2 linked regions of the Callithrix jacchus genome follow. The main gene of each other region encodes a partner of the protein of the gene in region 2 in a complex. Links are inferred from orthologs where the notes say so. Each region holds a gene or a part of one and is shown on either strand. Other genes may lie near its edges.

What was found. Proteins that work in one complex are often made in the same cells at the same time.
Region 1: the proteins of UBA3 (region 2) and NAE1 are in contact, whole or in part, in a crystal structure (PDB 3DBR), measured with the Homo sapiens proteins. The link is inferred for Callithrix jacchus from reciprocal best matches to the Homo sapiens genes UBA3 and NAE1. Residues at the interface, in NP_003959.3 of Homo sapiens: Trp34, Glu35, Gly36, Arg37, Trp38, Asn39, His40, Lys43, Phe44, Glu46, Arg47, Ser48, Gly49, Pro50, Phe51, Thr52, Phe56, Glu83, Lys86, Asn87, Leu90, Ser91, Val106, Ser107, Leu109, Asn110, Arg111, Phe113, Leu114, Arg116; in NP_003896.1 of Homo sapiens: Glu10, Gln11, Lys12, Tyr13, Asp14, Arg15, Gln16, Leu17, Arg18, Leu19, Trp20, Asp22, Glu44, Lys47, Asn48, Leu51, Pro52, Gly67, Glu68, Ala70, Gly71, Asn72, Asn73, Phe74, Phe75, Gln77, Arg78, Ile81, Phe92, Glu95.

The regions. Positions count from the first base shown.
Region 1 is NC_133521.1:24,332,509-24,343,109, forward strand, and holds the start of NAE1 (NEDD8-activating enzyme E1 regulatory subunit), read right to left. Parts: upstream 6,905-10,601; 5' UTR 6,828-6,904; coding exon 6,775-6,827; intron 3,505-6,774; coding exon 3,401-3,504; intron 3,308-3,400; coding exon 3,247-3,307; intron 1,477-3,246; coding exon 1,446-1,476; intron 433-1,445; coding exon 361-432; intron 148-360; coding exon 68-147; intron 1-67. UniProt on the Homo sapiens protein: Regulatory subunit of the dimeric UBA3-NAE1 E1 enzyme. E1 activates NEDD8 by first adenylating its C-terminal glycine residue with ATP, thereafter linking this residue to the side chain of the catalytic cysteine, yielding a NEDD8-UBA3 thioester and free AMP.
Region 2 is NC_133516.1:50,891,016-50,901,374, forward strand, and holds the start of UBA3 (NEDD8-activating enzyme E1 catalytic subunit), read right to left. Parts: upstream 6,544-10,359; 5' UTR 6,515-6,543; coding exon 6,495-6,514; intron 6,309-6,494; coding exon 6,267-6,308; intron 4,080-6,266; coding exon 3,959-4,079; intron 1,682-3,958; coding exon 1,601-1,681; intron 1-1,600. UniProt on the Homo sapiens protein: Catalytic subunit of the dimeric UBA3-NAE1 E1 enzyme. E1 activates NEDD8 by first adenylating its C-terminal glycine residue with ATP, thereafter linking this residue to the side chain of the catalytic cysteine, yielding a NEDD8-UBA3 thioester and free AMP.

The DNA.
Region 1 (10,601 bases), on a different chromosome or scaffold from region 2:
ACTGTGCTGATAAAACAATGCAAATCAAATAAGATTAAAATAAAAACATATTAACATAAAAATTTACCTTTCAGGAAGCTGAGTTGCAACCACAACAGTAAACCTACAGAAAAATGAAGGATCATTGTCTAGAAGGTTTTCTGGACTCTAAATAGGACAGCAAAGAAAAAAAACCCAACAATTTCACAATCATATTAAACATGGCAGAAATAGTTAAGCTATTTTACAACAAATGAGGCAACAAATCCAATTCAACTAATCATAAATGATACAAAGATTCAAAATTCTAAATTTCTAGGGCTTTGAATTATTTTAAAAAATTGTATTTCAGCAGACATAAAAATGTGTGTACATATATACCTCTTCCACAAAACTTCCAGAGACATCGCTATTTAATTCTTGTAAGAATTCCATGGCAGCTTGAGCTCGGTTCTTTTTAAAAACAAAGCATTTAACTTGAATTAGAAAAAAGTTTGGTCACAATATAATCCCCCAATTTATGGAACAGGCAAACATACTGTAAAACTATCCAAATTTCATATGTAAGTATGACAACTCTGTTTCCCTTCTTTTTTCTTTTTAGAGACAGGCTTTTGCTCTGTTACCCAGTTTGAAGCATAGTGGCCTGATCATAGCTCACTGCAGCCTCAAACTCCTAGGCTTAAGCAATCCTCCTGCCTCAGCCTCTCAAGTAGGTGGGACTACAGGCACGTGCTACCATGCCCAGCTAATTAAAAAAAAATATTTTGTAGAGGCAGGGTCTTGCCATGTTGCCCAGGCTGGTCTTGAACTCCTGGCCTCAAGCAATCCTCCTGCCTTGACCTCCCAAAGTGCTGAGACTACAGGCATGAGCCACCAGTCCCAGCCAATTCTGCTTCCCCTAGTGTTTATGACTCAACAGAATATTACTTAAAACAAAGGAAAACCATCATTATCCAGAGTTCTCAAACAACATTTTTGTACTCAACTTTTTTGATTTGACAAATGACCAAAAAACTCTAGGTAGCAGGCAGGGATATCCTAGATCATGTTCAGACTCACTGTCACCCCCCAAATCTAGAATCCTGTACAAAAGTGGTTAATCACTATGCTAACAGTCATTTCACTAAGTTGACTAATATGGTTTCATAAGATTTTTTAATTTGAAATACAAAGATAGAACATCTTCTGGCTCTTATTAAAAATTCTGTCAACTAGAATCCATCTTCTGAATATTACATTACTCAAGATTTAGCTTTAATACAGGATACAATGTATAAGCACAGATAGTACTTCTAAGTTTTTAAACCACCAAACATATGAAGATTTACAAGATTAGAAAAATTTGGTAACTTTTTCTCAGAGAAATAATATGCTTTTTTAAAGTCAAAGCTTTTCAAACAATCAAAGCATAGTGGCACCATTAGATCCTCAAGTGCAACTATATTCTCTAACAAATTGTTTACCTTGCCGATACTGCTTCTTTGAAGGAAGAAACTAAAGTGAACAGAATAAAGGGAAAAAAAGTAAAGCTTACTAATTTTAAAGGAAAAGCTCTTTGTAATAGCATGCATATTCATTCATAGTATAAAACAAGCTATATTGTGATTACAGATGGTAATGGCCTTCCTAGAGGAAGAAAATCAGATAGGCTTATAAACAAAGATAGGCTAATAAGTCAATGTTTCTTTTCCAAAGTGTGTACCACTTTGGGAAATGTGAATATCACAAGATCCTCTGAGAAAAAAGGGTTCCTTGGCTAAAAAAAGTTTGGGAAACACCATATGCTATATTTCCCTCTTGGAAATTCATAATATACATAAAACATATGATACTAAAATTTTTTTTTTTTGAGATGGAGTCTTACTCTGTCGCCAGGCTGGAGTGCAGTGGTACTATCTCAGCTCACTGCAACCTCTGACTCCCTGGTTGAAGGGATTCTCCTGCCTCAGCCTCCCGAGTAGCTGAGATTACAGGCAAGCGCCACCGCACCCAGCTAATTTTTTGTATTTTTAGTAGCGATGGAGTTTCTCCATGTTGGTCAGGCTAGTCCCAAACTCCCGACCTGAGGGGATTTACCTGCCTTGGCCTCCCAAAGTGCTGGGACTACAGGCATGAGCCACCGTGTCCAGCCAACTTTTTGCATTTTTAGTAGAGATTGGGTTTTGCTATGTTGGCCAGGCTGGTCTTGAACTCCTGACCTCAAGTGATCTGCCCGCCTCAGCCTCTCAAAGTGCTGGCATTACAGGCCTGAGCCACTGCACCCTGCCACTAAAATCTTAAGGTAAAGAAATTTTAACTTTATTTGATCCATTTCCCAAACTAATTTGACCATGGAACCCACCGGCCCATTTAACAGCTTTTAACATTCTCTAGAACCAGTGTTCCATAGATTAGTCTCGGTGTACTGAACCATTTGTTTTTGCACGTAACTATAACAGATTTATTCAGACTTCCTCCCACACATACCCTTGACATGTCTCAAGGCCCAGATATGAGGCTGCTGATCAGAGTCAAGATGCCATTTTTTGGCATAAACTCACTGGCTCCATAGAAAAAACTCTATTTTTATCACATTCTACTCTAACCAACCAAGTAAGCAAAGAGAACAAGATTTCTTTATACATGTCAATAAAAAGGCTGTTCTGTGCCTAGCAGAAACTGGCACTACCACCCAAAGAAAAGGCATCAAAACTAAATATGAACTAATTGTTGGTTTTCCTTATATTTACTCACTGTTGTTATTACTGACAAATACAATGAAAGATACCAGACTTCAAGCCCCTGAAAAAGTGCGGAGCATTAAATCCAAATTTGGGAATGCTCTGAAAATCTACATATAATCTTTAAAGAATAATATACAGGCCATCTTTAAAACAGCATTTCGTAGACACAGTATAAAGTGATATACGCCTAGACTAAGCTGAGAAGACATACAGGTATTATTGTTAATTATATGTGATTATATAGGAGTCAGTGCAAGAGCTTAGAAGTGTCCATATTACATGAATAAACAAATAATGACTACTCTTTTATATTCATAACAATCCAGTAATGATGAGTACCTTTTATTAATGGCCCATTTGCCAAATGCTGTATTGCACTTTACCTGTATTATCTCACTTCCTCCTCACCATAATCCCAAACAAAGATGACTTCCACTGAGAGCCGAGTCACCCTGACTGAAGCTAGGATTCAGGACTTGCCTTCCCATGAAAGTGCACTGCCTTCCTTAACATGTATATATTTGAAAAGAATAGAACATACTTGTTTCCAGCATCTTCTCCGCTGACCTGATTGCCATCAATAATTGTAAACGAACCAACACCTGAGAGCCAAAACAGAGTAAGTCAGGAATGTACAGTTCTAGGTCATAATCTTAAAGAAGTAAATTTAGAACACAACCACAAAACTACATTACCTGGTAGTACCAAGTTTTTAAGAATTTCAGTTCCTGTGGCTGTTGCATTTATTAGGCAAACATGAGCAGATTCTAAAGCCTCTTGCCCATGATCACCCCACAACCTACAAAAGAGACACAAATTTGACATGTTTAAAGCTTTCATGACAATACAGCTTTCTTATTTGAATAGTGATCTTTTTTTTTCTTTTTGAGACGGCCTCTTATTCTGTCACCAGGCTGGAGTGCAGTGGAGTGATCAGTGCAATCTCCACCTCCTGGGTTCAAGTGATTCTTCTGCCTCAGCCTCCCTAGGAGCTGGTCCTACAGGCACATCCCACCACGCCCGGCTAGTTTTCTATATTTTTAGTAAAGATGGAGTTTCACCACGTTAGCCAGGATGGTCTGGATCTCCTGACCTCATGATCCGCCCACCTCGGCCTCCCAAAGTGCTGGGATTACAGGCATGGGCCACCATGCCTGGACTCATTTATTCTTAAGTTATGTTAGATGCATTTAAGTTAAGTTAGATGTATTTAAGATCTTGACATAGGGCTTGTTACTGTGACTTCTCCAAGGATGGGCAAAACCTTTACCAAGAAAACTGAATTATCATCTGAAAAGCCTCACGTCAACTTCTACAGGAGTGCTTTAAAGTATAATACCCAATGAACATTCTAAGAGCATGATTAATGTGCCTTCCCCATCACCTAATCTAAAGCAGATTACTCCTTATTACGTAACCAGTATGTCCTCCAGAGCATATGACAAGCAACTGCCTCATTTTTCTTTTTTTTTTTTTGAGACAGGGTCTCACTGTGTTGTCCAGGCTGGTCTTGAACTACTGGGTTCAAGCATTTCTCTGGCCTCAGCCTCTAGAGTTGCTGGGACTTCAGGCACAAGCCACTGCACCTGGCTTCATTTGTTTTTGTTTGCTGGGCATCCATCTTTCCACTCCACTCTTAGCTTTGTAAGGGCCCAGACAGCTGTCAAATGTGTGGAGGAATCGCCTGGAAGAACCAGATGGACTGTAAATGCCCGTTTTCTCCATGAAAGTATAGCACGCAGAAGACACCTGACATATATTTGATGGATGCTTGAATAGCTGGAGAGTAAACTTAAGAATACTGGTTCATCAGGGAGGCAAAGGTTGCAGTGAGCCAAGATTGCACCACTGCACTCCAGCCTGGTGCCTGGCAACAGAGCAAGACTCTGTCTCAAAAAAAAAAAAAAATAAAATAATAATAATAATAATAATACTGGTTCATTTCAGCTGGGCGAGGTGGTTCACGCCTGTAATCCCAGCACTTTGGGAGGCCAAGGCAGGCGGATCACCTGAGGTCAGGTGTTCAAGGACAGACTGGCCAACATGGTGAAACCCTGTCTCTACTAAAAATATAAAAATTAGCTGGGTACACACCTGTAATCCTAGCTACTTGGGAGGCTGAGGCACAAATCGCTTGACCCCGAGAAGCAGAGGTTGCAGTGAGCCAAGATCATGCCACTGCACTCCAGCCTGGGTGACAGAGTGAGACTCGGTCTCAAAAAAAAAAAAAAAAAGAATCCTGGTATGCCTCTAAGTAACATGTTTCAAGAAGAGGTAAAACGTATTCAGTCCTCTCTAACTTGCTGGCCCAATTAAGGTGAAGCCAGGAGGGCCGTATTGACTGCTGCATTTTGCTTCTAACTGCTTCCCTTTGACAGTTCAAAACCAATAACCAGTTCTCACTATGAAAGGTAAAGTTTGGGACTTAAATGGAATGTCTTCAGCAAAACCCCTCTTTTGTTAGAGTTGCTAAGTAACCTCAACTATCTTCTCAGCTCTGTCACACGTATGGTTATACCTGCATTCAAAACAGACAAACTCCAATAATTTACAAGAAAACCTAAGTTGGTTATAAGGACTGTCACCTTTCTTTCTTTTCCTAAAAGCTTGGGAGCAGGATGTAACTGTGTACCTCCAAAAAACCCAGAAGAGCCTGACTTTACATCCTGGCTCAAGATATGGGGAACTCTGTGCAAGTTACCTAACTTCTCCAAGACTCAGTTTCCCTAATTGTAAAGCACAGGAAATGGCTGCTTTCAAGGGTGCTCTCAGACTTAAGTGCCTCTAATACAACACTAGGCTGGTGGTACAAACAGAAACTCCAGTCCTTGGAGATACATAACTTCTGTTGTCTCAGAGGCTCCAGGAAGAGGAAGCCAAGCAGCTTTGTTACTTCCACAGCCTCAAGATATAGAAGACGCTCAATAAATAAGCAATGGGGAGTGAAAGAAAAGGCAAGGGTGGGGAAGTAGCCAAGGACCCTCCTGATGGCTTGGGCCTGCAATGCCCATTAAGGTAGCCGCCAGCTACACGTACTACTGAGCAACGAGGCTAGTGTTAACTGAGATGTACTGTAAGTGTAGAAGGCAGTATTTCTAAGACAGTTTTGGGTTTTCTTTTTTTTAAAGAGTCTCGCTCTGTCACCCAGGCTGGAGTGCAGTGGCGTGATTTCAGCTCACTGAAACCTACACCTCCTGGATTCAAACGATTTTCTGGCCTCAGCCTCCAGAGTAACTGGGATTACAGGCGCGCGCCACCACACCCGGCTAATTTTTGAATTTTTAATAAAGATGAGGTTTGACCATGGTGCCCAGGCTGGTCTCAAATTCCTGACCTCAAACTCCTGATCCACCCGCCTCCGCCTCCCATAGTGCTGTGATTACAGGCGTGAGCCACCATGCCCGTCTTCCAAGACAGTTTTAAAAAGGAAAATACTCATGACCATCCTGCAAGGTGGCAAGATCCCGTTTCTACAAAAAACATAAAATATTTTTTAAAATTAAGTAAAATGTCTTCATAACTTCTTATGTTGATTACTTGTTAAGATAGTAATATTTTGGACATATTGGGTTAAATTGTATTTAAAAATAATTTTCACCTATTTCTTTTTACTTTTAGAGTGGTTACTATAAAATTTATAATTAAATTTGTGATTCACATGAGACTGGCATTACATTTCCATTGGACAGCGCTGGTGAGAACAAAACCGAACCCTCTATGCCGCTCTTGCGGCAGGGATGGGGTGCGTTCTGGGCCTCCCCATTCTGAAAACCAGGAGCCTGGGCGCGGCGAGGCGGGGCGGGCAGCCGCGCTAGCGACCGGGCTTGGCAATGGGGACTGCGTGTCCCGAATCGCACACCGCGTGGCGGGGAAAGGGGTCCTGGTCCTCGCGGAGCACCCTCGGCCCGGGGCGGGAGGCCAGAGCGCCGGCTTCCCGCGCCCCACACGGCCCGGCCCAGCCTGAAAGGAGGCCTGAGGGAGGCCCGATCGCGCCGCCTGCGCCCTTAGGCCCGGCCCGGACTCAGGGAAGCCCGCCGGCCCACCCTCGGCTCGGTGAGCCCCGGCTCACCTCAGCTGCCGGTCGTACTTCTGCTCCTTGAGCAGCTTCCCCGGCTGCGCCATGGCCGCGCCCGCCGCGCGGAGAACCGGGGAGCCCCCGCAGAGCGCCGCCACCAGCTCTACGAGCGCGCAGGCGCACTGAGCGCCCCTCCGCCGCCACCGCCTCCTGCGCGCTGCCCGCAGGGGGCGCCGCACTGCACTGCGCACGCGTCACGGGTACACTAAGGGCGTAAGCGGCCCCGGCCCCGAGCAGGTCTGGGGATCTCGGTCCCAGTAGGCAGGAGGGGCAGCCCCGCTAGCCTACCAATTCGCGGTCTGGCCGTGCAGCATTTGGGGGCGACTGGGGCCTTGGAATCAGGCACACTTGTATTTTGACCACTTAACTGGTTGTGAGATCTCTTTACCTCTCAAATCCTCCGTTTGCTCACCTGTGCAGTGGGGATAAATGGGTTCCAAGTGTCTTTGGCCTTAAATGAGAATTTGAATACAGGAGGCCAGACTCCCCCAAAGTCTTGCATGAATAATAACTTTCGTTGTGATTATCATTATTTTTCACCCATTTCTTCCTCTCATGAAAAAGCCCACAAGCCTATTTTGAATCACAAACTCCCTGCTGCAGATGCAAACAAGTCCAGGGCTCTGTTGTTGAAGAGTTTAGTCTGGTGAAGGGAGAGGGTCAGTAAACAAGCACTCACCAGACAATGTGGCCTTCCTGTAGATAGAGGGAAGTAGCGTGCTCAGGGTGCACAGAACAAGCTCCCCACTCGCCCTCTCCAAGAATGTTTCATGTGGTGTGGAGATGGAAGGGTTTTTTTTGTTTTGTTTTGTTTTTTGAAACAGGATCTCACTCTATTGCTCAGGCTGGAGTTCGGTGGTGCAGTCTTAATCCACTGCAGCCTTAAGCTTCTGGGCAGCAATCCTCCCACCTCAGCCTCCCAAGTAGCTAGGACTACAGACGTGCACCACCACACCCAACTAATTTTTGTATTTTTTGTAGAGACAGGGTTTTGCCATGGTCCAGGTTGGTCTCAAACTCCTGGGCTCAAGCGATCTGCCCACCTTAGCCTCCCAATGTGCTCAGATTACAGGCATGAGCCACCGTGCCCAGCTGGAAGGGTGTTTTAAGCATAAGGAACAGCAGGTGCCATCTCTAAGAGGCAAAGAAGGCATAGCAAGCCGCAGGTGCTAGAGTAAGTTGGTCAGGTGAAGAATCAGGGGTGGTTTGGAAGGTTTGAGACAAAGCTGGGACGGGCTGGGTTCAGAGGACTGCGAACATAGATTCAAGGAGGAATTTAAAGTCCTCCACTTCCTGAAAAGACCCTCTTCTCAGGAAGAGAATAGCTGTCTTGTGGGGATGGCAGGCCATGGAAGGAGGTTTTGTTTCATGAGGACAACTGGGAGGGGGGTGGTGCTGAAGACAAGGTGACCGTCTGGAATAAAGATGAAGACTCCTTCCTCTCTTATCTTCCAGACCCTACAGGCACCTTCAGGTTAATAACTCCCTGAAATAAGGTGGAAATGAGTACGGATTCCCCACCCCCAACCGCCTAGGTTAGGAACCAGAGTGGTGGCACAGTTTGATGGTAATGATGCAGTGGTGATAAGTTGCACTTTCCCCTGGGCGTGTTCTCCAGACCAGGGTGAGAGTACACCCTTACATACCTTCCCTTGTCCTTACTCAACTCTCATGGAACACAACTGATGAGAAACAGAGGCGTGAGGCTTTCCCAGCTCATCATGTGTTTGTGCTGTCACATTTCCTTCTCCAAGTGAACAAGTGAAATATAAGGGATAATAAAATACACTCCAGGAAAGTAGGAAGGTCAAAAGGCAGCAGATGAGAGTTCACTGCTTTGCTTCTCATGCCCATGGACTTCAGGAAAGGAAATATCCTCAAATTTGGTAGAGGGCGAGTCATAGTGCCTGTGAAGAAGTAAATTACTTTGAAAAGGCTTGTGTTAGAGGCCGGGTATGGTGGCTCATGCCTGTAATCCAAGCACTTTGGAGGCCAAGGCAGGCGGATCACCTGCAGTTGGGAGTTCAAGACCAGCCTGACCAACATGGTGAAACTCCATCTTTAAAAAAAAAAAAGAAGAAGAAGTTAAGAAAAGGTTTGTGTTGGTGGTGTCTGTAAAATGATAACTCAGGGTGTCAGTTTCCTAGGAATGTTGTAACAAAGAACCACAAACCAGGTGGCTTAAAACAAGAGAAATTTATTGTCTTACAGTTCTGGAGGCTGGAGGTCTACAATCAAAGTGTGGGCAAGACTATGCTCCTTCTGAAACCTGTAGGGGAAAATCTGTCCTTGCTTCTTCTTGGCTTCCTGGGGTTTGCTGGCAATCCTTGGCTAGCAGCCACAGCACTTCAATCTCTGCCTCACCGCTACATGGCATGCTCCCCTCATCTCTCTGTTTCTCCTCTCATAAGGACACAAGTCACATTGGATTAGAGCTCATGCTGATGACTTCATCTTAACTGGATTAATTACACTTGCAAAGACCCTATATTTAAATAAGATCTCCACAGGTACTGGCAGGTTAGGACTTCAGTAACTTCTGGGGAAGACATAATTCAGCCCGTACCCAGCACCTTTGTATTAATATTATTTTTTAGAGGCAGGGTCTCACTATATTGCCCACACTTGTCTCAAACTCCTGGGTTCAAGCAGTCCTCCCACCTCAGCCCCCCGAAGTACTGGGACTACAGGCCTGAGTCACTGAGCCTGGCCCTGCCCATTTTGTAATAGGGTTATTTTTTTATTTTTATTGAGTGGTCTGATTTGTACATTTTAGATATTAGTCCCTGATCTAATGTATAGTTTGTAAATATTTTTTCTCAATCTGTGGGTTGTCTCTTTACTCTGTCATTTCCTTTGCTGTGCAGAAGCTTTTTAATTTGGTATAAACACATTTATCTATTTTTTCTTTTGTTCCCTATGCTTTTGGAGTCTGGTCACTATTTTTTGGTGGGGTGAGGGACAGGATCTCATTGTTTCACCTGAGCTTCAGTGCAGTGGTTATAATCATGGCTCACTGTAGCCTCAACCTCCTGGCCTCAAGCAATCCTCCTGCTTCAGCCTTCTAAGCAGCTGGGACTACAGGCACCCACTGCCATGCTTGGCTAATTTTTATATTATTTTCTGTAGAGATGAAAGTGAAAATAATGATAATAATTCAACCCATAAAACCATGTAAAAGTGCCTATGCTGGAAGAGGAGAGACTGATCAAACATAGTTCTTTTGATGGCCCTGCCATGAAAGAACTCAAGGTGAGTCCTCCCTGTTGTGGAGGGTGGAAACTAGAGGTATCAGACCAGGAAGCCATGGTGTAATTCCTTTAAGCTATTGGTTTTCAAACTGTGGTCCTGGACCAGTAGCATCGACATCACTTTGGAAACTTGTTAGAAAGGCAAATTCTTGTCTGGGTGCAGTGGCTCATGCCTGTAATCCCAGCACTTTGGGAGGCCAAGACAGGAGGATTCTTTGAGGCCAGGAGTTCGAGACTAGCCTGGGTAACACAGAAGACTCTGTCTCTACAAAATAAATAAATAAATAAATAAAAATAAAAAATTAGCCAGGTGTGGTGGTGTATGCCTTTAGTCCAGTTATTTAGGAGGCAGAGGTGGGAGGATCACTTGACCCCAGGAGTTTGTGGTTGCAGTGAGCTATGATCTCTACGATCTCGCTACTGCACTCCAGCCTAGGCAACAGAGCAAGATGCTCTCCCCCCGTCTCTTAAAAAAAAAAATTAAGCATTAAAAAAAAAGAAAGCCAGGTAAGGTGGCTCACTCCTGTAATCCCAACACTTAAGACGGTGAGGCAGGAGGATTTCTTGAGC
Region 2 (10,359 bases):
AATTGAAAACCCTTAGTTTTCTTCTTTTGTGTAAAGGGTTATAATGCAATAAATAACAGGGCCACTCCTTAAAGTTGTTTGATGACTAATCTTCAGATCTAATCTTCAATTATTTTACACTTAAAATTAGTAAGTATCACATTTGCAAATAATATCTTCAAAATTTAATAAGCTTTAGGTAACTTGTACATTTATAATACCTAACAAAAAGCAATGCCCAACCTCCATAAACCCTTTCCTTCTATAAGTCTTTGGTTCTCACACTGCTAGAGTGTTTATGTTTGATAAGGTATTGTCATTTTGGCATCCTATCACAGCGTACATCATACATACTGCTATTTATTTCATGAGAGACTTATCTCCCCAGTGAAATTCCAGATTCACTGAAGACAGAGACCATGATGACATATAATCCCCACGGAACCCAGGAAGGCATTAAATACGTTTTATATTTCATTAAAACCCAGTGAAATATATTTAAGGTTTTACAACTTCACTCAAGTGACATTAGTGTTTTTAGCAAAATTAAAACACTAGGTTTTATTTTTAACTAGGCTAGGTTTATATTTAAACTTTAATCCCTTTGGCCAATTATTTATATTTAATTTATATTTATTTAATTATTATAAATTTTAACCCCTTTGGCCAATTATTTATATTTATTTAATTATTAAATTATATTTAATTATTTACATTTAAAATTTAACCCCTTTGACCAATTATTCATCTGGCTGTGACCTGCTTTATTTTCTAAAGAGTCTATTCCAGCGTTTCCACTTTTCTACACAGCAATGAGAAGCCGAGCATACAACTAACTCTAAACCAATTCTCTCTCTACTCATTTTTGTTAAATAAACTCATGAAGATTTATAAAGTTACTTTGTGATTAGAAAAAGTCAAGGAAACCAATTAATTAAATCAAATTATATATATAACTTGACTTATTTCCAAATTTAAGGAAATAAGTTTAGTAAAGGTTTAGCTTTCCCAAATCTTAGGAGTCCATGATTGTCTTATGAGGTCATATAATGATCTAATGGTTCACTGAAAAAGAACACTGAACTAAGAGTTGATGACCTAAATTATATTCCAGGCACATCACTATAATCCAGAAAAACTTCAGCAAGTCAGTCAACATCTCTAAACCTCAAAGTCTCCCTCTATATAAAATGGAGCAATGCCTTACCCGCCTAGCTGGGTTATTTGGGGAAGCAAAAAAAATAATAAATTATTTGAAACTATACATTAAATATGAATTACCAGTTTTGTTATTTACTTCACTGAGGTTAGGAGTGTTTCGCCAGAGGAAGCGCCAAAATTTGTTTAGTAAAGATCAGAGAAGAAAATGGAAGTAAGAAATTCTATCAATGATTTTATAGCTGAAAGCTTTAGAGTTAAAAAAATTCCAAAGTTCTATCATCATTTTAATCACTGGAATTTGATGTGCTAAACTTATCTAAAAAAGGCTCAAGAGAAAAGGTTAACAATGACAATAAATTTCCTAGTATGACAGATAAGCAAGGTTTACTTATCACAAAAAAGAAAATAATATGTATTTTTTATATATATATATAAATATATATATGTGTGTATATATTACCAGATTTTTCAGGAGCTCACATCCTAAGCCGCCAGCTCCAATGACTAGAACTTTACAAGTATCTAACAAGAACTGGAGAGACTGTAAAGAACGGAAAGGCATATTAAAAGCTGGGTAATAACCACAAGGACTGTCAATAAAGCAACAAACTTTAAAACAGTTTCTGATGTTTCCACGAAAAAATGCAATTAGGATAAAGAGAAGACTTTGTATTTGATCAATTATTTTAAATGTATGAATTCTTATCGAACCAGAAATTCTAAAACTCTAATGATTTCAGTAAGTTTCAATGTTAGTTTCATTTTTTGAGATGGAGTCTTGCTTTTGTCGCACAGGTTGGAGTGCAGTGATGTGATCTTGGCTCACTGCAACCTCTGCCTCCTGGGTTCAAGCAATTCTCCTGCCTCAGCCTCTTGAGTAGCTGGGATTACAGGCATGAACCACCACACCCAGCTAATTTTTGTATTTTTTTTTTTTAAAGATGGGGTTTCACCATGATGGCCAGGCTGGTCTTGAAATCCTGACCTCGGGTGATCTACCCACCTCAGCCTCCCAAAGTGCTAGGATTACAGGCATGAGCCACCACACCCAGCTAATTTTTGTATTTTTAGTAGAGACGGGGGTTTCACCATGTTGACCAGGCTGGTCTCAAATTCCTGACCCTCAGGTGATCTGCCCGCCTCGCCCTTCCAAAGTCCTGGGCTTACAGGCATGAGCCACGATGTCTGGCTGCTAATGTTTTTAAATTGCCTTTTATTGTATGAAATTAAAAGGCTATTTTTTAACAAGAAAAACTATCTTTAGTTTGCTTTTCAATTTTTGAAAAGGAATAGAAAACATCAAATTCAGTTATTTAACTGACTTCCTAAAAATTTAAGTTTAAAAATCTTAAAAACAGGATTAAACACTACCCAAGGTGCTTAAAGGACTAAAAAAATAAGGTTAGAAGAGTAACAGCTGCTTTTTTTTTTTTTTTTTTTTGAGACAGGGTCTCACTGTGTCACCCAGGCTGGAGTACAGTGGCCTGATCAGAGCTCCCTGTAGCCTCTACCTCCAGATGCCCTCAAGCAATCCTCCCACCTCAGCCTCCTGAGTACCTGAAACCAAAGACATGTATCACTATGCCCAGCTAATTTTTTTTTTTAAGAGATGGGTTCTCCCTAAGTTGCCTAGGGTGGTCTGAACTCTTGGGCTCAAGTGATCCTCCCACTCTGGCATCCCAAAGTTTTGGGATTACAGGCATGAGCCACCTTACCTGGCCAACAGTTCCTTTTGATTAAGTAAGTGAAACTCACAAAACATGAGATAACAGGAAAACACAAATACAAGTCTTAGAAAATTCCTTATCGGCAAAAATAAAATCATTTAACAGAAGTAACGATTAAAAAAATTTTTTTTTGAGATGACATTTTGCTTTTGTTGCCCAGGCTGGATTGCAATGGCATGATCTCGGCTCACTGCTGCCTCAGCCTCCCAAGTAGCTGGGATTACAGGCATGTGCCACCACGCCCAGCTAACTTTGTATTTTTAGTAGAGACGGGGTTTCACCATGTTGTGCAGAATGGTCTCGATCTCTTGACCTTGTGATCTGCTCACCTCGGCCCCCCAAAGTGCTGGGATTACAGGCGTGAGCCACTGCGCCCAGCCTTTTTTTTTTTTTTTTTTTTTTTAAATACTTTCAATTCTGCCCAACATTAAAGGAGAAATTTATTCAGATGAGACACTAGGCCAAACCCAGAGTGTGCACATTAATGTACAGAAGTAGCACAATATTTCTATTTCAAAATATTATCTTTTTGTAAATACAAAGGATATAAACATACGCTATACTTTTCCTACCCTGTAATAAAAAGTAAGTCACATATAATTGAACACTTGCCTTAAGTCAGACACTAACAGTCCAAAATTCTACGCCTCTATTATTTAGTACTCACATAATTCTTAACATGCAACTAATTATACTCAATGCTAAGATGTTCATTCCAACCAAATTTCAAAATGTAAATAAGCGCATCTATATTCCTATCAAAATTAATTTCTCACGATAGTACTACAAAAGGGGAGTATATTTCAGAGAGCATTTTAAACTAGAATTTTAAGTATAACTTAAATTTTACATAAGGTCATATTTTTCTATTGAAAATTTTTAACTTATGTAACATGAGAAATGTGAAGACTCAAACGGTCATTCAAACAAAATCAGTTGTGAATATTCAATTTCATATTTTAAAAAAATTTAGTTTCACAAAACAATTTTATTAGTATTTTCATTATAAGAGCAAATTAAAAAGGAAGCATTCTATTATTTTTGAAACATAAAACTATTAGAGCAGTTATTTAAAAATAAATGTTTCTCACTTCAGTGCTCGGTTCGAAATCAGGGTGTGTGAAGGGTCCAGATCGCTCGAGGAACTTCTTTACATGGTTCCAGCGACCTTCCCAGTCTCCAGAGTCCCCACACCCACCATCAACAGCCATTCTGCACAGAACACAGTAAATTCAGCTGCAAACATCAGTATGAAAAAAACCAAACCTACAACTATATGGTAACCCCAAATGAAAAGGTAACTACACCACACCTGCTCAAATAAAAAGGGAAATATTCAACGTGCTCATGTTAATGCTTTGAAATTTTTTCTTGCCCATTATACAATTGATTTAAAGTTAAGAACTCCACATTTCTATTTTTATTTCACCCACTGGATGAAATCAATCAGTCTACATGTTTTTGGTTTCCTAATGCAATCCAAGGTCCAACTTAGGATATTGGTCTATCCATTAGAAATGGACTTCTCTACATTTGGTATTTACAAAACAAAAAAATCACTGCAAACTTTCTCAGTCTGTTGCTTCAACACACTTGCATTAGGAAACATGAGATACAATAGAAAAAATAAAGTCAACTTCCAGAATTCTGACGCTTCAAATTTAATACTTCTTGTGTCCTTTCCAAGTTTGAAAGGTGTAATCTAAAAATCATTTTTGATGAGTGGAATTTTCACACACTTTTCTCAGAAAGAGAGGTTCTAATATTCTCTTTTCCTTTTTTTTTTTTTTCTTTGAGACAGTCTCCCTGAATTGCCCAGGCTGGAGTGCAGTGGCACAATTGCAGCTCACTGCAGCCTTGCCCTCCTGGGCTCAAGCGATTCCCCTGCCTCAGCTTCCCAAGTAGCTGGGCCTACAGGCACGTATCACCATACCCAGCTAATTTTTGTATTTTTAGTAGAGATGGGTTTCACCATGTTGCCCAGGCTGGTCTAGAACTCCTGAGCTCAAGTAATCTGCCTGCCTAGGCCTCCCAAAGTGCTGGGATTATAGAAGTGAGCCACCGCACCTGGCAGAGGTCCTAATTTTTAAAAGAATCTCTTAAAACTGTGAGGCAGTTTTTCTTGCCACTAAACACAAGAAGTTTTAGGTTACAATAACGCCACAGATAGGCATCTAGAAACCCTTTAGAACACACAACAGAATAAGGTGGGACTCCTCTACAAAATGCATCTCTTTTATACCTAGTGCAAGATTCACGTTTGGTTGTGATAATTTTAAATTTTCTAACCTCCTATAACCCCACACTTTCTACTTTCAAATATGTTTGCAATATCCAATTTTTACAAAAGAGACCAAGAAGTATTGCCTAGCACTAAAAACCGTAGGTTTTGATGTCAAGAGTTGTACTCGGTTCCACAATTAACAGCACTATGACCTTGAGTAGATTTCTTAATGGCCATAAACCTCCTCTGTAGGCCATTCATAGCTACTTCTTTCGGCCATGAGACTAGAAGTAATCACATAGAGAGGACTCAGAACAATACATGGCATGTGGTAAGCAAAGTTTAACTGTGATTTCACGTAAAAGGAGGAGGGAAATAAAAGGCAGGAAAGAATGTGAAATTAAGCTTGCCATCCCAGTCCTCTCACAGTTGAAATTCAACTGTCTGAAGGACATACCTAAAGACCAAAGCTGCTACTGGGAACTGGCACGGAAATTACAGACTCACCATACCCAATGCAAGTTTCCCTGCCCAGGCAGGGAGGGGAGTAAATTATGTGGCGTTGGCCAGGTTAGAAAACACTTCGATTAAATCTGTCTCACCAGCATAGAACTACGCATCTGATAAAAAATAGGGTGTGTAGTAAATGAGAAAAACAGGCTGTTTGAGGTCAATCTCTTTTAAGAGCCAATTATTCTGCCAAAATGACTGGAGTGCTTAGTACAATATCTGACACGTAGAGTTATCATTAAAAGTTTGCAATTAGTACTACTGTCTCAGTGTTTGCAAAAGGCCACAAAACGGTCTTGTGTCCTTTTCCTGGGTGTTTAAAGTAGATTCCCTTTTCACAGGGTCACGGCTCTGACAATTTGGGATGGAGAAAGAGGAGTGCACAAGGGTCCTTCCTCAAGACCCTTACGTCAAGTACCCTGGAGGGCCCCTGCAGGAGCTGGGGCGGTGCAGCCCGGCCCCGACGCCCGCACTGCGCAGAAACCGGGAACGGCCTGCCAGGCCCCCAGGGCTGCGGGACGGGGGTCAAGGGATGAGGCCGCGTGGCCTGCGCTCCGGGTGTCCCTCTCCCAGCCCCCCGGGCCCGCTGCGGCTGGTCCCCTAGGCCTGGGGTTGGGGGAGGCCGGGGTCCCCGGAGAGGACCCCGGCCTCCCGGCAGCACTAACTTCTCAGCCAGCAGCTCCTCTATTCTCCTTCTTTTCTTCTCCCTAAAAGAAAGAGAGAATAAAAGAAGGGTCAGCATCACGCTACACACTGGGCGCCGCGAGGGGATGGCGGGGCGAGGGGACGGGGCGGGGGGCTGGGGGACCCCGGGTGGCGGCGGCAACCGCCCACCGCCGCGCTCTCTCACAACCCAGCCCAGCCCGGCGCGTCTACAGAGTCCCGGTACTTACGGCTCCTCGCCATCCGCCATATTGTTCTCCGCCTCTTCCCAGGTGCCCTAGCGGCGGGGCGGGGAGGGGCGGGACCAGCGAAGCGGGGCGGGGGGCGGGGCAGGCAAAGCCGGGGCGGGGGACAGGCAAAGCGGGGAGGGGGCAGGCAAAGCGGGGCGGGGTGGGGGCGGGGACGGGGGCGGGGACGGGGGCGGGGACGGAGCCCGCCCGGAAGGGCGGGGCTGACTGCGCTAGGACTCCCGTGGGCTTTAAAACCTTTCCCTGTAATTATAATCTTAATTACCTACACTTAATTAAGTAAATCTTATGCCGTCCATAATGTTGCTATGCAGCGTGAAAATGTAGACAATACATTATGCATTTGTACAAATTATATGTTAATGAGTAATTATATAAAATACTGGTATATTCTTTAAAAAACTCCTGAAGAACCATCTAAATATGCCAGAGGCTTTCCTCTAAGACAAAGACCAAGGAAATTTTCACTTTCTGCTTTTCAGGATGATTCCAAAGTCTTTGCCTTTACAAGAACTCACTTGAATAATTTTATCTAAATCAGTTTACAGTGGTGGGATGAGAGATTATTATTTTCTTTGTACAAATCAACATTAATATTTTTGTGTCACATTCTGTTAGATAAGTTCAACAGAAATGAAATGATTTCGTTAAAACTTTTTTTTCTGTGATAAATGTATATATTTAGATGCAAAGAAGAAAGTATAAAGGACAAAAATCAAATAATAATTTAGAACACCCATAATCCTGTTACCTCAAGATAAAGAGTGAGCAAAGTGTCAGCTATTTTCTTATAGAGTCAAAAATACAAATATACATGTGAGTCTGGATGGCTGGATAGACAGAAATGATCATGTTCAAAAATGCATTTATATATACATACACACACATCTCCTTTTATGGAGTGGGACAAGAATGAGATTTGGAATCAAAAGTAATTGATTTTAAATCCTTCACAGTTATGAGCTATGAGACCCTTAGACACTTCTATGTCTTCATTTATAAAATAGGCATAACACTATTCACCTTGTAAGACTGATAATTAAGTAAAATCCAGAGTGGCTCTCAGAATACAGTTTCTGATCAACATCACTCGGGAATTTTTTGTTAACACAAATTTTCAGGCCCCACCCTCAACCTTCTGCAAAGCCTGGGGTCGTTCTCTGCTGGTAAAGTTTGAGAGCCACTGAAATGAAATACATAAACCCTAATAGGGACTCATAAATGGAGCTGCCATTACTACATTGTGAAATTTAATCTCCTCTTGTCCTAGTTTTCATTGAACCTTAAGGAAAGCTTGTCCTTTATGGCCCCCCCAGTTAGGTTCAGTTCAATAGCATTCATTGAGCTGAAAGTTAGTGCCAGGCAGTGGGTGTGGAATTAAAGTTCATAGTCCATTATCAAGAGATTCCAGCCTCCTTCTGCATCACATATCTCAGCATCAACTATGAAACCACTTTTTCTTGATCAGACAATCAGACAACTCCACAGATGGCTTCACTGAGGATTTAACCTCAGTGCTTATTAAAATGGGCTCCTGTAGCCTGAACCCCCAATAATACTGGATACCCTTTGATTAGTGGTAGTGAGCATTGTAGCCCTCTCACATGGTGAAACCAACAGGCACCTTAGAGACCACCTAGTCCAATCTCACCTGTTTCATGGGGAGGAAACTTAGGCCTAGGGATAGAATACAGCTAACTTATGAAGAAGTCTGCAAAGGCATCTGGCCCTGTATCTGCTTGCTTTGAGAAGAACACCCTGACTCACTATGGTGGTATTTTGATTAATGCCACCAGGCACTCTCACTGGCTCAGATTGATTGACGGATCAGAAATAGCCATCTGCCCTTGCCAGTAATGATAGCAACAGAGACATGCAAGCAAAACCTCCAACAGATTTATTTTACTTCAAATGGAACGTATCATAAACAATTAGACTATCTGCTATAGGTTTAAAACAGACAGATATTCTGTCCTATCTAGACACACCAGTCCCATTATAAAAGCCCCATGAAGTGGGGCTTGGATTCCCATGCCTTTTATCCTGGCTACTTGGGAGGCTGAAGTGGGAGGTCTGCTTGAGCCCAGGAGTTTAAGACCAGCCTGGGCAACAGAGTAAGACCCTGTCTCTAAAAATAGTAATAAGTCAAAGCTCCAGGAAGACCTCTGCAGTGAATCTGACGTCTCTCTCCCCAGAATGAACACTAACAAAGAGTTGCTACTTACAGCATTTCAAACAGTTACTGGAATAAAGAAATGACTCATAATGTGTTCATTTAAAAAAAAAATTTTTTTTAACAAAGGTAAAAATATTTAGAAAAAAAAAATCTCCCAAAGAGAGAAACAGAAATAACATTTTGGGAGAGAGGGAGAAAGGAATCATGCTATAAACAGCTTTCTCTGTCTTTTTAGAATTTCTTTCTTTTTAAACCCCTTTTAAGGTTTAAACAAATAACTCTTGGGTATCAATTGCCTGTAATCAAGGCGTAATCATATTGTTACTAATATACTCTTGACAGCTTTTGGTCATGTAGTTCTGAGCAGTTGGAGGATAAAGTTCTTTTTTTTTTTTTTGAGATGGAGTTTCACTCTTGTTACCCAGGCTGGAGTGCAATGGCGCGATCTCGGCTCACCACAACCTCCGCCTCCTGGGTTCAGGCAATTCTCCTGCCTCAGCTTCCTGAGTAGCTGGAATTACAGGCACGTGCCTCCATGCCCAGCTAACTTTTTTTTTTTTTGTATTTTTAGTAGAGACGGGGTTTCACCATGTTGACCAGGATGGTCTTGATCTCTTGACCTCATGATCCACCCGCCTCAGCCTACCAAAGTGCTGGGATTACAGGCGTGAGCCCACCGCGCCTGGCCAGAAGATAAAGTTCTTGATCACAGCTTCTAATACTCATAAATCTAACAGTGTGGGGCCCCACACTTTGACCAAAATGATTTACTCAGCTTGCCCACAGTGCTGCTTCTTGACATTCTGAAGCCCTGGGAAATTCCTCCACACCCTCTGACTTCCTGTAACTGTGCACTGTGGCTCAGTGCATCTCTATTTAGCCCTCATCTCACTGTCTCATATTTAACTAGTGTTTCCACTGGATTGCAGGAGTTTTGAAGGCAGAGCAGGATTTCATCTTTCTCCTCTTTTATTTTTTTTAATACCATGTTGTCCCAGAGCCTCAAAAGAACTTGAAATACCTGTTGGCATTGTACTGAATATTCTCAATCTTTCTCCTCCTATTATATCTACCCAGATATGACCACAACAATAAAATTGGAGCAAGGTAGAGAAAAGTCAGTAGATGCTTATAGAAAACAAATCAGATTAAAGCACTATTAATAGCAGACATGAATCATGGGCTAGCCTATTACTAATGACAATAATAGTAACGTATAACTGTGAACATTTGTCATACACTAAGCACTTCCTATACATTCCTTCACTTATCCTCACCTTTGTGGCAGATGTTCCATTATCCCCACTTTACACATGAAGAAATTGATGCTAGGAGAGATCAGGTAATTTCTCCAAAGTCACCTGTCAGAGAGGAAGGAGCTGGGACTCTAATTTTGCTTTCTCTGACTTCACACCATCCCATTTTTCCAGAATCAAGAGAACGTGAGCATTCAGTAATATTTTCACATTTTAAACTTTATTCAAAAGGCAGCACATAAGATATATCTTAGTCAGCACTAATTCTTTGCAATCACCAAACTTTCCTAAACACCAGTAGTAGTAGTAATTTCTTAGAGTCACTGTAAGCTCCTTAACTGCCTTCTGAATCAACAAGGAAGATTAAATTATTTTCTAGACTTTGCATAAGTATATTTCATTACTTTCTAAGATT